Linked DNA regions of Macaca fascicularis. The protein of the gene in region 2 interacts with the protein of the main gene of each other region in a biochemical or structural test. Links are inferred from orthologs where the notes say so. Each region holds a gene or a part of one and is shown on either strand. Other genes may lie near its edges.

Region 1 (4,150 bases), on a different chromosome or scaffold from region 2:
TCCCAGTGCTGTGTTTGCAGTGAGCACCCCTGAGGGATGAAGACGTGTCTCCCTGTGGGACACTGGGCTTACCAGGGGCCCTAGAGGAGGGGAATCTCTCAAGCTCAGAGCTCTGTGGCTGCGATATAGGCCCACTATGTGCGCGGTGTCAGTTTGGGTCCTTCCATGTTGCCTCTGTGGGACTTGGGGTAAGGGGAACTGACGCAAACATCAGGCTGCTGTTGCTTGGTGTGAGCAATTAATTCCTGCGGCTCTCACCCTGGAGTCTCATGTCTTTGGGTCAGACAAACTCATCAGCTTGTGGAAAGGGCACAGTCCCAAGGACCTGTTAGAATCTTCTATTGTGCACATGTTGCTCTTAAAATATACAAATCAGTTTTGATTTTAAAAACTTATGCATTTTATTTTTAGTGACAGGGTTTCTGCTGTGGTGCCCAGGCTGGTTTCAAACTCCTGGGCTTAGGGGATCCTTCCGCCTCGGTGGGACTACAGGCATAATGTATCACCACGCCCGGGACTGATTTTCGTTTTTAAAGAACAAAACCAAAGACATACACAAACCAAAAGTCAAAGCTTGCTAATTAGAGGAAAGTCAGGAAATGGGAACCATTCAAAGAAGAAAATGCCTCGGCCTCCTACTCTCACCTATCCAAAGACAATTAGGTGAATCCCTTAGTGGATATCTTTCCAGACACTTTTCCATATAGAGTCCCACATCTGGCCGGGCGCGGTGGCTCACGCCTGTAATCCCAGCGCTTTGGGAGGCTGAGGTGGGTGGATCACCTGAGGTCAGGAGTTCCAGACCAGCCTGACCAACATGGAGAAACCCCGTCTCTACTAAAAATACAAAATTAGCTGGGCACAGTGGCGCATGCCTGTAATCCCAGCTACTTGGGAGGCTGAGGCAGGAGAATTGCTTGAACCTGGGAGGCAGAGGTTGCGGTGAGCCAAGATCATGCCATTGCACTAAACTCCACTTCAAAATAAATAAATAAATAAAATAAAATAAAAAATAAAAAGATTCCCATATCTTTACTAGTTTGCTGAAATAAGATCCGAGCATATGCAGTGTGTAGGAACCACCTTGGTTTAGCCAAGCCTCCCTGACTAGGGGCCACTGGGGTGACCCCCAGCTCCCCGTGAGGGAGTCAAGAGCTCACCAGCTTGCAAAGGTTTTCACGGCCCCCAGCCAGACTCGGGGGCTTCCTCTTGCCCTGCTACTTCCTGGGAGCTCTGAGAGCAGGAAATGGCACCACTCAGCTCCTGGCCTAACAGCTTGGGGACCACAAATGCAAAGGAAACCACCCTCCCCTCCCACCTCCTCCTCTACACCCTTGAGTTCTCAGGCTCATATTCCCACCACCCACCTCTGAGTCCAGCCATCCCTAGCATCACCCCTTCCATCCCATTCCTCAGCCAAGAGCCAGTAATCCAGATTCCAGATCCCGCACTTCCCTGCCTGCCTCAGGTGAGCCCCAGACCCCCAGACACCCCACTGGCCCCTGAAGGAGCAGGTCATGGTGCTGTCTTCGCCCAGCAGCTGTGGGAGCAGGGCGGGTGGGGCAGGATGGAGGGGTGGGTGGGGTGGGTGGAGCCAGGGCCCACTTCCTTTCCCCTTGGGGCCCTGTCCTCCCCAGTCTTGCCCCAGCCTCGGGAGGTGGTGGAGTGACCTGGCCCCAGCGCTGCGTCCTTATCAGCTGAGCCGGTAAGAGGGTTGAGACTTGGTGGGGTAGGGGCCTCAGTGGGCCTGGAAATGTGCCTGTGGCTTGAAAAGACTCTGACAGGTGATGATGGGAAGAGATTTGGAGCCACTGGGCTGCACAGGGTCAGGGAGGGCCAGGAGAGGGTGGCCACTGCTGGAATCTGAGCTGCCGAGGCTGGAGGGAGCCTTGGGATGGGGCTGATGGGGGAGCTGCCAGCATCTGTTCCTCTGTCATTTCTGATAACAGTAAAAGCCAGGATGGAAAAAACCGTTAAACCGCAGGTTGGGCCTGGCCGTTGGTAGGGAAGTGGGCAGAGGGGAGGCCCGGCCAGATCCTCCGGCAACTCCCGCGTGTTCTGCTTCTCCGGCTGCCCACCTGCAGGTCCCAGCTCCTGCCTGTTTGCCTGGAAATGGCCGTGCTTCTCCTCCTCCTTGGGGTGCTTGTGGTAAGTCCAGAGGCTCTGGGGGACACGACAGCTGTGCAGACACCCGTGCCCGGAGAGACTTCTGGTCCTTTGGTCTCTACTAGCAAATACCTGAGCATCGACTCAGAGATGTACACCGCTTCAATAACAAGTGACCCTAAGGCCGACGGCACTGGGGACCAGACCTCAGCCCTACCTCCCTCAACTTCTGTCAATGAGGGATCCCCTCTTGGGACTTCCCTTGGTGCCAGCACTGGTTCCCCCTTACCTGAGCCAACAACCTTACAGAATGTTTCCTTCGAGATGTCATCAATGCCCCAGGAAAACCCTCATGCAACCAGTCATCCTGCTGTTCCCATAACAGCAAACTCTCTAGGATCCCACACCATGACAGGTGGAACCATGACAACGAACTCTCCAGAAACCTCCAGTAGGACCAGTGGAGCCCCTGTTACCGTGGCAGCTAGCTCTCAGGAGACCTCCAAAGGCACCTCTGGACCCCCTCTTACCATGGCAACTATCTCTCTGGAGACCTCCAATGGCACCTCTGGACCCCCTGTTACCATAGCAGCTGGCTCTCTGGAGACCTCCACTGGGACCACTGGACCCCCTGTTACCATAGCAGCTGGCTCTCTGGAGACCTCCACTGGGACCACTGGACCCCCTGTTACCATGACAACTGGCTCTCTGGAGCCCTCCAATGTGAACACTGGACCCTCTGTTACCATGACAACTGGCTCTCTGGAGCCCTCCAGTGGGGCCAGTGGACCCCAGGTCTCTAGTGTAAAACTATCCACGATGATGACTCCAACGACCTCCACCAATGCAAGCACTGTGCCCTTTCGGAACCCAGATGAGAACTCAGGAGGCATGCTGCCAGTGGCCGTGCTTGTGGCCCTGCTGGTGGTCATAGTCCTCGTGGCTCTGCTCCTGCTGTGGCGCCGGCGGCAGAAACGGCGGACAGGGGCCCTGGTGTTGAGCAGAGGCGGCAAGCGTAACGGGGTGGTGGACGCCTGGGCTGGGCCAGCCCAGGTCCCTGAGGAGGGGGCCGTGACAGTGACCGTGGGAGGGTCCGGGGGCGACAAGGGCTCTGGGGTCCCCGACGGGGAGGGGTCTGGCCGGCGGCCCACGCTCACCACTTTCTTTGGCAGACGGAAGTCTCGCCAGGGCTCCCTGGCAATGGAGGAGCTGAAGTCTGGGTCAGGCTCCAACCTCAAAGGGGAGGAGGAGCCGCTGGTGGCCAGCGAGGATGGGGCTCTGGATGCCCCCGCTCCTGATGAGCCTGAAGCGGGAGACAGGGCTGCCCCTTAAGTGCTGGCGAATAGTAAGGCTGGAGGCCGGAATCTCAGCCAGCCTCCAGCACCTTCCCTCTCACCATCACACTGCCCCCTCACTCCCACATTTCCACCTGGCATCCTGATCCTCACCTGAATCTCTCTCTCTCTCTCTTTTTTTTTTTTTTCTGAGGCAGAGTTTCGCTTTGTTGCCCAGGCTGGAGTGCCATGGCATGATCTCAGCTCACTGCAACATCTGCCTCCTAAGTTCAAGAGATTCTCCTGCCTCAGCCTCCCGAGTAACTGAGATTACAGGCGCCCACCACCACGCCCAGCTGCTTTTTTGTATTTTTGGTAGAGACGGGGTTTCACCATGTTGGCCAGGATGGTCTCAAACTCCTGACCTCAGGTGATCCACCTGCCTCGGCCTCCCAAAGTGCTGGGATTACAGACGTGAGCCACCGTGCCTTACCTCCTCACCCGCCTCTTCACTCTGAATCCTCATCAGGCCTCTCAGCCCTGGATTTCCTGCTGGCATCCTCACCCAGCACCTGCAACCAGCACCTGGGCAGGGCAAGGCCGGCACCTCTCAACGTCTGTGGACTGAATTAATAAACCCTCTTCATCCACCCCTATTTATCTCCATCAGGATTTCCCCCTCTTTCTTGTTCTTGGAAACGGCTGCTGAGTCTCCATCAGCCAAATTTATCTGACCTGTGATTTCTTTGAGAATTCTCCTTTTCCCCCAC
Region 2 (3,515 bases):
TGCTTCTGCACACGCTCATTCTTCTCCGCCTCAGTGGTACGTTCCTCCTCACTGCGGTCCTTGGCCATAGCATCAGCCCGTAGGTCAGCACTAGCTTCTGCCCCATTCTCATCCTGCTCATCCTGCTCATTCTCAGCAGGCTCAGCCACATGAGGTGTACTCATGGCAGTCTTCAGCTCAGCACGGGTCTTCTCCAAGTCTTCCTGTACCATCTGGGCCTGTACAGCGACAGAAGGAGAGAAAGACTTTCAGTGAGACCAGTTAAACTGTGGCATCCTGTATATGCCTAGAATGGTCTGGCAAGAGGCAGGTACCAGGTAGGACAAGACACTTCATCTGCCTGATCCTTAGTTTCTTCAGCCATAAAACAAGAGCAATTGTACCAACTTCCTAAAGGTATTGAAGAACTCCAGTAAGTATTTGAGGAAACTATGAGTACCTTCTCCCATGATGCCTGCTGTAGGAAGTATGAAAGAGGGAGGGAGCCAAAACATAAGGAATCTAAGGAGCTGTAACCTATGCATATGGTACCCATTCCCTCAATGCTTTGTTTTACGCCCTGTGTCTTACCTTCTGCTGCCACTCCACAGCCTCACTCTCCTTCTTCTGTCGGGCCATCTCCAGCTGGGAGATTCGAGCTGTCAGCTCTGCCATTTCCAAGGCCTACGGAAAAATTGGAAGCCTGTGAGAGGTGGGCCTTCTGGTCCTCAGGACCCAGGTGTCTTCAACCCAAGTTCCCCTTGGGGACTAGTAAGGGACCTACTGCTCCACTTGCTTGCTGCCTCAGAGACTCTTTTACCACACCACTTCATTCCAGTCCCATCTTTCCTGACCACCACTTCAAGTCAGAGTTCCCCCACCTAGACTGTAGGCCTCCTGAAGACAAACAATATGCCATCTCTGTCCCTTCCTCATTATCTCTCCCCATGCCCCTCTTGGCAAGTATGCAGCTGGGGCCTCAGTAAAGCTTTGGCCATCACTGGGTCACTTCCTGAAGTGGCAGATCCTTTCCTGATATCCTAGAATGCTCAGGATTCCACTAAGACTCTTCCCAGGACAAGTACAGGAAAGACACTCAAGTGTCACAAGGTGATCTGAACAAGGAAAAAAGCTTATGCACACCTTGGGTAAATCTCCCATGACAGCTTCCTCATGAGAGACAGGTCTTGGTTCCCTATATTCCCACCTCCAACAGTAGAGGGGAAGAGTATATGTCAAGGAGTTTGGACCACAGGTTCTTTACTTCTGTGTCACAGAACCCTTGGAAACTGTGATGAAAGTATTGATGCCAAACTGTGATGAAAGTATTGATGAAAGTATTGATGAAAGTATTGATCCCAAAATGCATAGACACAGTTGCATGTGATTTCAGGGAGCAAAGCTTTCAAACAGAGGCAGAAATGGGTTCTAATCCTTATTTAGCCACAACTGTGTGACCTTTGGTGAATCTCTTCTCTGAGCTCTAATTTCCTTATCTGGGCATATTATCTCATATGAGGTTAATCCCATAGGGTTACTGGGAAGAAGAAATAAGTAAGGAAAAGGGAAATATTTCCAACACAGCAACATACAGCAGGAACTCAAGTATGAGTTCCTTTTGTTCCTTTCTCCTTCCCTTTTCTTTGCCAGGCCAATCAGCTCAGATACCCAAGGGTAAAGAAAATGAACAGAAACTAAGGGTTAGGGAAGATTGCAAAAATTCCTGGGCCACACTAGTGACTTCTCAGCTTGCTTCTGAACTAGTTATTTGCTGGAGGCCCATGGAGTGGTAGCCTGCTCTAAAGAGCCAGCATGTAAGCAAAAGTATCTATAAGTAAGTAGGCAGACAAGGAAGAAAGCTCAGTTCCCAAAACCCCAGTCCATCCTACAGCTTTACCAGCTGTTCCTGAGTCTTTTTCTGGTCCCGGGAGGCCTGCAGCAAGGCCTCCTTGGCCTCTTCAGCTTCTTGACGCTCCTTGGCAAGCTTTTCAGCCTCGCTCTGGGCACGCTTCCGTTCCTGCTCAAGTTCCAGAGCCCTACGGGTCTGTTCTTCCAGTTCTGGGCATAAAAGGAGGGGAGAAGGCAGTGAAGAGCACAGAGATAAAGATGACACACTAGCTTCCTTCCTGGAAATGATCCACCCCAGGACAAAGCTGGCAGAAAGTTCTGAGTTCTCTTCTTGCCCATTCTTTTTCTAGTCTGTAGCCACACCTGAACTATATTGTCTGTGTGTACAGCTCAGGAAGAAGGTTCTCCAGCTCAGAGTCAGGTCTGGAAAAACCCAATCTCCAAGGTGACTCCAAGCCTCACCTTGCTGAGCCTTCTTAGTCTGTTCCTCAATCTGCTTCAGCCTCTCCATCAGCTCCTCCTTCTCCCGTTCAATCTTCTCTTTCTCTTTTTCTGCCATTTCACGCTTCTTCTTCTCATTTTCCAGCATAGCACTAGGGAAGGAGATAAAATGGATAGAACAGGATAGTAAAGCTCCATAAAAGCCTGGGGAGGCCAGGCATGGTGGCTCACGCCTATAATCCCAGCACTTTGGGAGGCCGAGGCGGGCAGATCATGAGGTCAGGAAATCGAGACCATCCTGGCAAACACGATGAAACCCTGTCTTTACTAAAAATACAAAAAATTAGCTGGGCGTAGTGGCATGCGCCCGTAGCCCTAGCTATTCGGGAGGCTGAGGCAGGAGAATCGCTTGAACCTGGGAGGCGGAGGTTGCAGTGAGCTGAGATTGCACCACTGCACTCCGGCGTGGACAACAGAACAAGACTCCATTTTCAAAAAAAAAAAAAAAAAAAAAAAAAAGCCTGGGGAATTGCAAGGCTTGCTGCCTCTGGGTCTCTCAACCCAACCTTCTCAACACACTCAGGGATTGTGAGTTTGGGCCACCCTCCCTTACCTCTATACCTTTGTCCTCATATCACAGCCCCACATAGGCCAGTGTACACGGGGCCCTGTCAATGTGCCCCTGAGTCAGGAATCCTAGCTCTCCCACCAACCCACTGGGTGACCTTAGCTATGTCACTGCTTTGCTCTTGTTCCCCTATCTTGAAAATGGTCCAATAAGACCTGCCCTATATACCTTGTAGGGAGACAAGTTTTGGCTCTCTGCTGGGATGAAGTGCTTCAAGTCCAGTAATCTCTATGGCTAGTGCATCAGTCCTCAGGTCCAAATCTGTCTGCCCTAAAGCCCAGCTCTAGGCTTCTTTTTCCCAGAGTTTGTTACAAATCTGGAATAGGTATTTGCTTTTTCTTGCCCTAGCACCTCTTCCAGGAACCTTCTTATCTCCCTTGGCTAGGTATTCTCCATCTGAGCCCTCAGAATACTTGGCTTACCCTTCTCCCCACCCCTCTTCTATGTTTTTTTCTCCATAGCAATTCTTAACCATCTTATGTACCACATAATTTGCTTATTTATTATGTTTGTCTCCTCCCCACTAGAATGCTAGCTTCACAAAAGCAGAGATTTTTGGTCTTTTCTTATTCATTGCTCAATAAATATTTATTAAGTGAATGAATGGCATGGCGTTTGT
Region 3 (4,287 bases), on a different chromosome or scaffold from region 2:
TAGAAGCTGGGACTACAGGTGCCCACCACCACACCCGGCTAATTTTTTTGTATTTTCAGTAGAGATGGGGTTTCACGGCATTTGCCAGGATGGTCTCGATCTTCTGACCTCGTGGTCCGCCCACCTCGGCCTCCCAAAGTGCTGGGATTACAGGTGTGAGCCACCACGCCCGGCCCCAGCTAATATTTTTTATTTATTTTTGTGGAGACAAGGTGTCCCTATGTTGCTCAGCCTGGTCTTAAATTTCTGGGCTCAAGCAATCTTCCTGCCTTGGCCTCCCAAAGTGTTGAGATTATTGTTGGGGTCAGGCAAGGTGGCTCACACCTGTAATCCCAGCATTTCGAGAGGCCAAGGTGGACAGATCACGAGGTCAGGAGTTAAAGACCAGCCTGGCTAACATGGTGAAACCCCATCTCTACAAAAAATACAAAAATTAGCTGGGCATGCTGGCGCATGCCTATAATCCCAGCTACTTGGGAGGCTGAGGCAGGAGAATGCTTGAACTGGGACCCGGGAGGCAGAGGTCGTGGTGAGCCAAGATGGCACCGCTGCACTCCAGTCTGGGCTACAGAACAACAGACTTCATCTCAAAAAAAAAAAAAAAACTTGTTGGGGCAGGGTGCAGTGGCTCATGCCTGTAATCCCAGCACTTCGGGAGACCAAAGCAGGCGGATTACCTGAGGTGAGGAGTTCAAGACCAGACTGGCCAACATGATGAAATGCCATCTCAGGCGGGCGCAGTGGCTCAAGCCTGTAATCCCCGCACTTTGGGAGGCCAAGATGGGCGGATCACGAGGTCAGGAGATCAAGACCATCCTGGCTAACACGTTGAAACCCCGTCTCTACTAAAAAAAATACAAAAAACTAGCCGGGCGAGGTGGCGGGCGCCTGTAGTCCCAGCTACTCGGGAGGCTGAGGCAGGAGAATGGCGTAAGCCCGGGAGGCGGAGCTTGCAGTGAGCTGAGATCCGGCCACTGCACTCCAGCCTGGGCTGGACAGAGCCAGACTCCGTCTCAAAAAAAAAAGAAAAAGAAATGCCATCTCTACTAAAAATACAAAATTACCCGGGTGTGGTGGCGTGCATGTGTAATCCCAGCCACTCGGGAGGCCGAGGCAGGAGAATCACTTGAACCCAGGAGGCGAAGGTTGCAGTGAGCCGAGATTGTGCCACTGCACTCCAGCCTGGGCAAAAACAGCGAAACTCTGTCTCAAAAAAAAAAAAAAAAAAAAAAAAATGCTGGTTGGGGCCCAAGTTAATTGATTTCACAACTGCTGCCTTGGCATGAGATTGAGATGTGTCTCTATGTCTTTGTTTTTTTTTTTTTTGTTTTTTTTTTTTGTTTTTTTTTTTGTTTTTTTTTTTTTTTTGAGACGGAGTCTCGCTGTGTCGTCCAGGCTGGAGTGCAGTGGCCGGATCTCAGCTCACTGCAAGCTCCGCCTCCCGGGTTCCCGCCATTCTCCGGCCTCAGCCTCCCGAGTAGCTGGGACTACAGGCGCCGCCACCTCGCCCGGCTAGTTTTTTGTATTTTTAGTAGAGACAGGGTTTCACCGTGTTAGCCAGGATGGTCTCGATCTCCTGACCTTGTGATCCGCCCGTCTCGGCCTCCCAAAGTGCTGGGATTACAGGCGTGAGCCACCGCGCCCGGCCTTGTCTTTGTATCTCACACACACAAATATCCAGGTCTGAGCTCTGGGTCAGAACCCTGGTCCATTCTTTGCAAACTGAGGGTCTCCATTCTCCTGAGCCATCGGCCACCTGCCCACACCACTACCCAACACCAGTCCCACCTCCGGACACATCGACTCACTGTACACGGTGATGTCAGAGAAGGCTGTTATCTGGGAGCCATTGCAGTACCCTGAACAGAGGATCCGACTGTTGCCAGTCACGTTGCTGAGCTGGAAGGCTGCCCAGCCCGTGCCATTGTCCACCAGCTCCTTTGATAGGGACGTCTCCAAGATGATTTTCTTAGAGCTGGGGCAATCAGTACTGCAGTTCACCAACAGGGACCCTCCAGCAGGAAACACAGGGTTCTGGGGCTCCACCCGCAGCAGGAACTCCTGCCCCTGGGCACCTTCAGGAACATGAAGAAATCCTGGTGTTCGTTTTGTTGCCCCCCAACCCGTGTATCAGCAGGCCCCACCATTTAACACCTCTTTCCTTGTGCCGAGATAGAAGGGTTCCCGCCCTCATGGTCCAGTGGGAAAGGCAGAATCCATCAGGGACCAGGGAGAACTCAGAAGGAGGCCAGAAGAGACTCTGATCCAGCATAGGAGGAGGTGAGTCAGGGAAGGCTTCCTGGAGGAGGGGACCATGCCAGCCTGAAACTGAAAGCTAAGTAAGAGTTAGCAAGTGAAAGGGACAGCTGATCCTGGCAGAGGGAACCACATACGCAAAGGGCAAATTTCAGGAGTTCAGATGGAGCAGGAAGCGTGAGGGGTGTGTGTGTGTGTGTGTGTGTGTGTGTTGGGGAAGAGGGATGGCGTAGAAGCCGTATGCTGGGGCCTGACCACCTGAAGGCAGAACTAAGGAACCAGAACTTTCTCCCGAGGATACGGGGTCAGCAGCCAGGTCGCAGTGTGGCAGGATGCAAAGAGTGTTGCATTCTCTTCCTCCACCTTCTACTGAGCCCCAAAACCCAGCCCTCTCCAGCCCTCCTGGGCTTGACCAGCCTCACCTGGGGTCAGCAGACAGCAGACCAGCAGAGTCCAGCAGGCCCCGGGCCACGATACGGATGGTACTATGGTGGCCATTCTGACAGAAGAAGGGGCCTTCCTGAGGTGCCCCAAGGGCAGGCAGGGGGAAAGGCGGGGCCTCCCACTGAGACGGAAGCACAGCGGTTAAGATTGCAGAAGTCTGGGGATTGCACCTTACCCAGGCCTGTGGGGAGAAGGGGATGCTATGGCCCTGGGGGGCTAGAATGGGGGACCCAGATGGGGCTCTGCAAAGTGGCCAGCACTGCTGAGTCTCCCCCAGGGACAGGGCTGGTCTCAGTTGCACTGCTGGCCCCCAGTTCCTAGCCAGGAAATGCTAACTGAACTGGCTTCCTTTGTTCTCAGCACTGGGAAGCCTGGGTGTGGGGGTATGAGGCATCTCCTTCCGGCTGAACTTAGGTGGGGAGGGGAATATTCTGTTCCCAGAGAGGAAGTTAATGGGGGAAACCTGTAGGCACCACTGTTTAGATGCTAAGGTGGGATTTCAAGGAAACATAAAACAAACAAACAAACAAACAAAAAAACCAGAAGCAGAGTCTTGCTATGTTGCCCCGACTGGTCTTGAGCTCCTGGCCTTGAGATGGCCTCCTCCCATCCTGACCTCCCAAAGTGTTGCGGTTACAGGCGTGAGCCACAACGCCTGGCCACCTTTGAAGATCTTGAGGACATCTCCCTATCTTTGAAGATTTTGGGGATCCCCCCTCCCATGCACGAAGAGCTAAGGTAGGTGATTTGGGGACAGCTGAGTCCCTGAGCCACTGTCTTTCCAGGATTCGATTTGGCTTTTGTTTTGTTTTGAAACAGGGTCTCACTCTGTTGCCCAGGCTGGAGTGCAGTAGTGGGATCTCGGCTCACTGCAGCCTCTGCCTCCCTGGTTCAAACAATTCTCCTGCCTCAGCCTCCCGAGTAGCTGGGATTACAGGCATGTGCCATCATGCCCGGCTAATTTTTGTACTTTTTGGTAAGAGATGGGGTTTCACCATGTTGGCCAAGCTGGTCTCAAACTTCTGACCTCAAGTGAGTCGCCTGCCTTGGCCTCCCAAAGTGCTGGGATTACAGGCATAAGCCACCTCACCCGACCTTCCAGGATTCTACTTGTAACTGGCCTTTACCTCATCCTGTTGCCCCCTTGCCCACCTTTCCAGGCAGCTGGTCACTTCATTCCAAGGGAAGGCACCAAGGGGACCAGGGGGGACTCCCACCTTTGACCTGCCGCTGACCTCAGGCCTCTGACCTGTCTTCTGGGCCTAACATCTGAGCACCAGAGAGGGACCTTGTTGAGGGCCTTGATGGAGCCCTGCATTCACCCACTTTTCCCAGACCTTGAGGTCACAGCACCTCCTCTCTCATCTGGAGCACCCCCACCTTCCTAATCAGGTCCCTCCTCTATTCCTCTGCCTTCCGAACAATTCATTTCCCATCTAGTGTTGAGAGAGCAGCTAAAACCCAAGTCTAGTGTATTTGTAAATAGCAGGGCCCAGTAGCATGGACCTGGTGCCTGTAGTCCCAGCTCCTTGGAAGGCTGAGGTGAGAGGATCGCTTGAGCCTGGGAGATCAAAGCTGCAGTGAGCT

Evidence for each region.
Region 1: the proteins of MSN (region 2) and SPN form a complex in vitro, tested with the Homo sapiens proteins (2 studies listed by BioGRID). The link is inferred for Macaca fascicularis from reciprocal best matches to the Homo sapiens genes MSN and SPN.
Region 3: the proteins of MSN (region 2) and ICAM3 form a complex in vitro, tested with the Homo sapiens proteins (2 studies listed by BioGRID). The link is inferred for Macaca fascicularis from reciprocal best matches to the Homo sapiens genes MSN and ICAM3.

The regions. Positions count from the first base shown.
Region 1 is NC_088394.1:28,449,354-28,453,503, reverse strand, and holds SPN (leukosialin), read left to right. Parts: upstream 1-1,350; 5' UTR 1,351-1,468; intron 1,469-1,635; exon of another isoform or gene 1,636-1,705; intron 1,706-2,084; 5' UTR 2,085-2,112; coding exon 2,113-3,438; 3' UTR 3,439-4,034; downstream 4,035-4,150. UniProt on the Homo sapiens protein: Predominant cell surface sialoprotein of leukocytes which regulates multiple T-cell functions, including T-cell activation, proliferation, differentiation, trafficking and migration.
Region 2 is NC_088395.1:72,033,126-72,036,640, reverse strand, and holds part of MSN (moesin), read right to left. Parts: intron 2,421-3,515; coding exon 2,290-2,420; intron 2,038-2,289; coding exon 1,877-2,037; intron 664-1,876; coding exon 571-663; intron 219-570; coding exon 1-218. UniProt on the Homo sapiens protein: Ezrin-radixin-moesin (ERM) family protein that connects the actin cytoskeleton to the plasma membrane and thereby regulates the structure and function of specific domains of the cell cortex.
Region 3 is NC_088393.1:10,897,867-10,902,153, forward strand, and holds the start of ICAM3 (intercellular adhesion molecule 3), read right to left. Parts: upstream 2,811-4,287; 5' UTR 2,755-2,810; coding exon 2,679-2,754; intron 2,076-2,678; coding exon 1,809-2,075; intron 1-1,808. UniProt on the Homo sapiens protein: ICAM proteins are ligands for the leukocyte adhesion protein LFA-1 (integrin alpha-L/beta-2). ICAM3 is also a ligand for integrin alpha-D/beta-2. In association with integrin alpha-L/beta-2, contributes to apoptotic neutrophil phagocytosis by macrophages.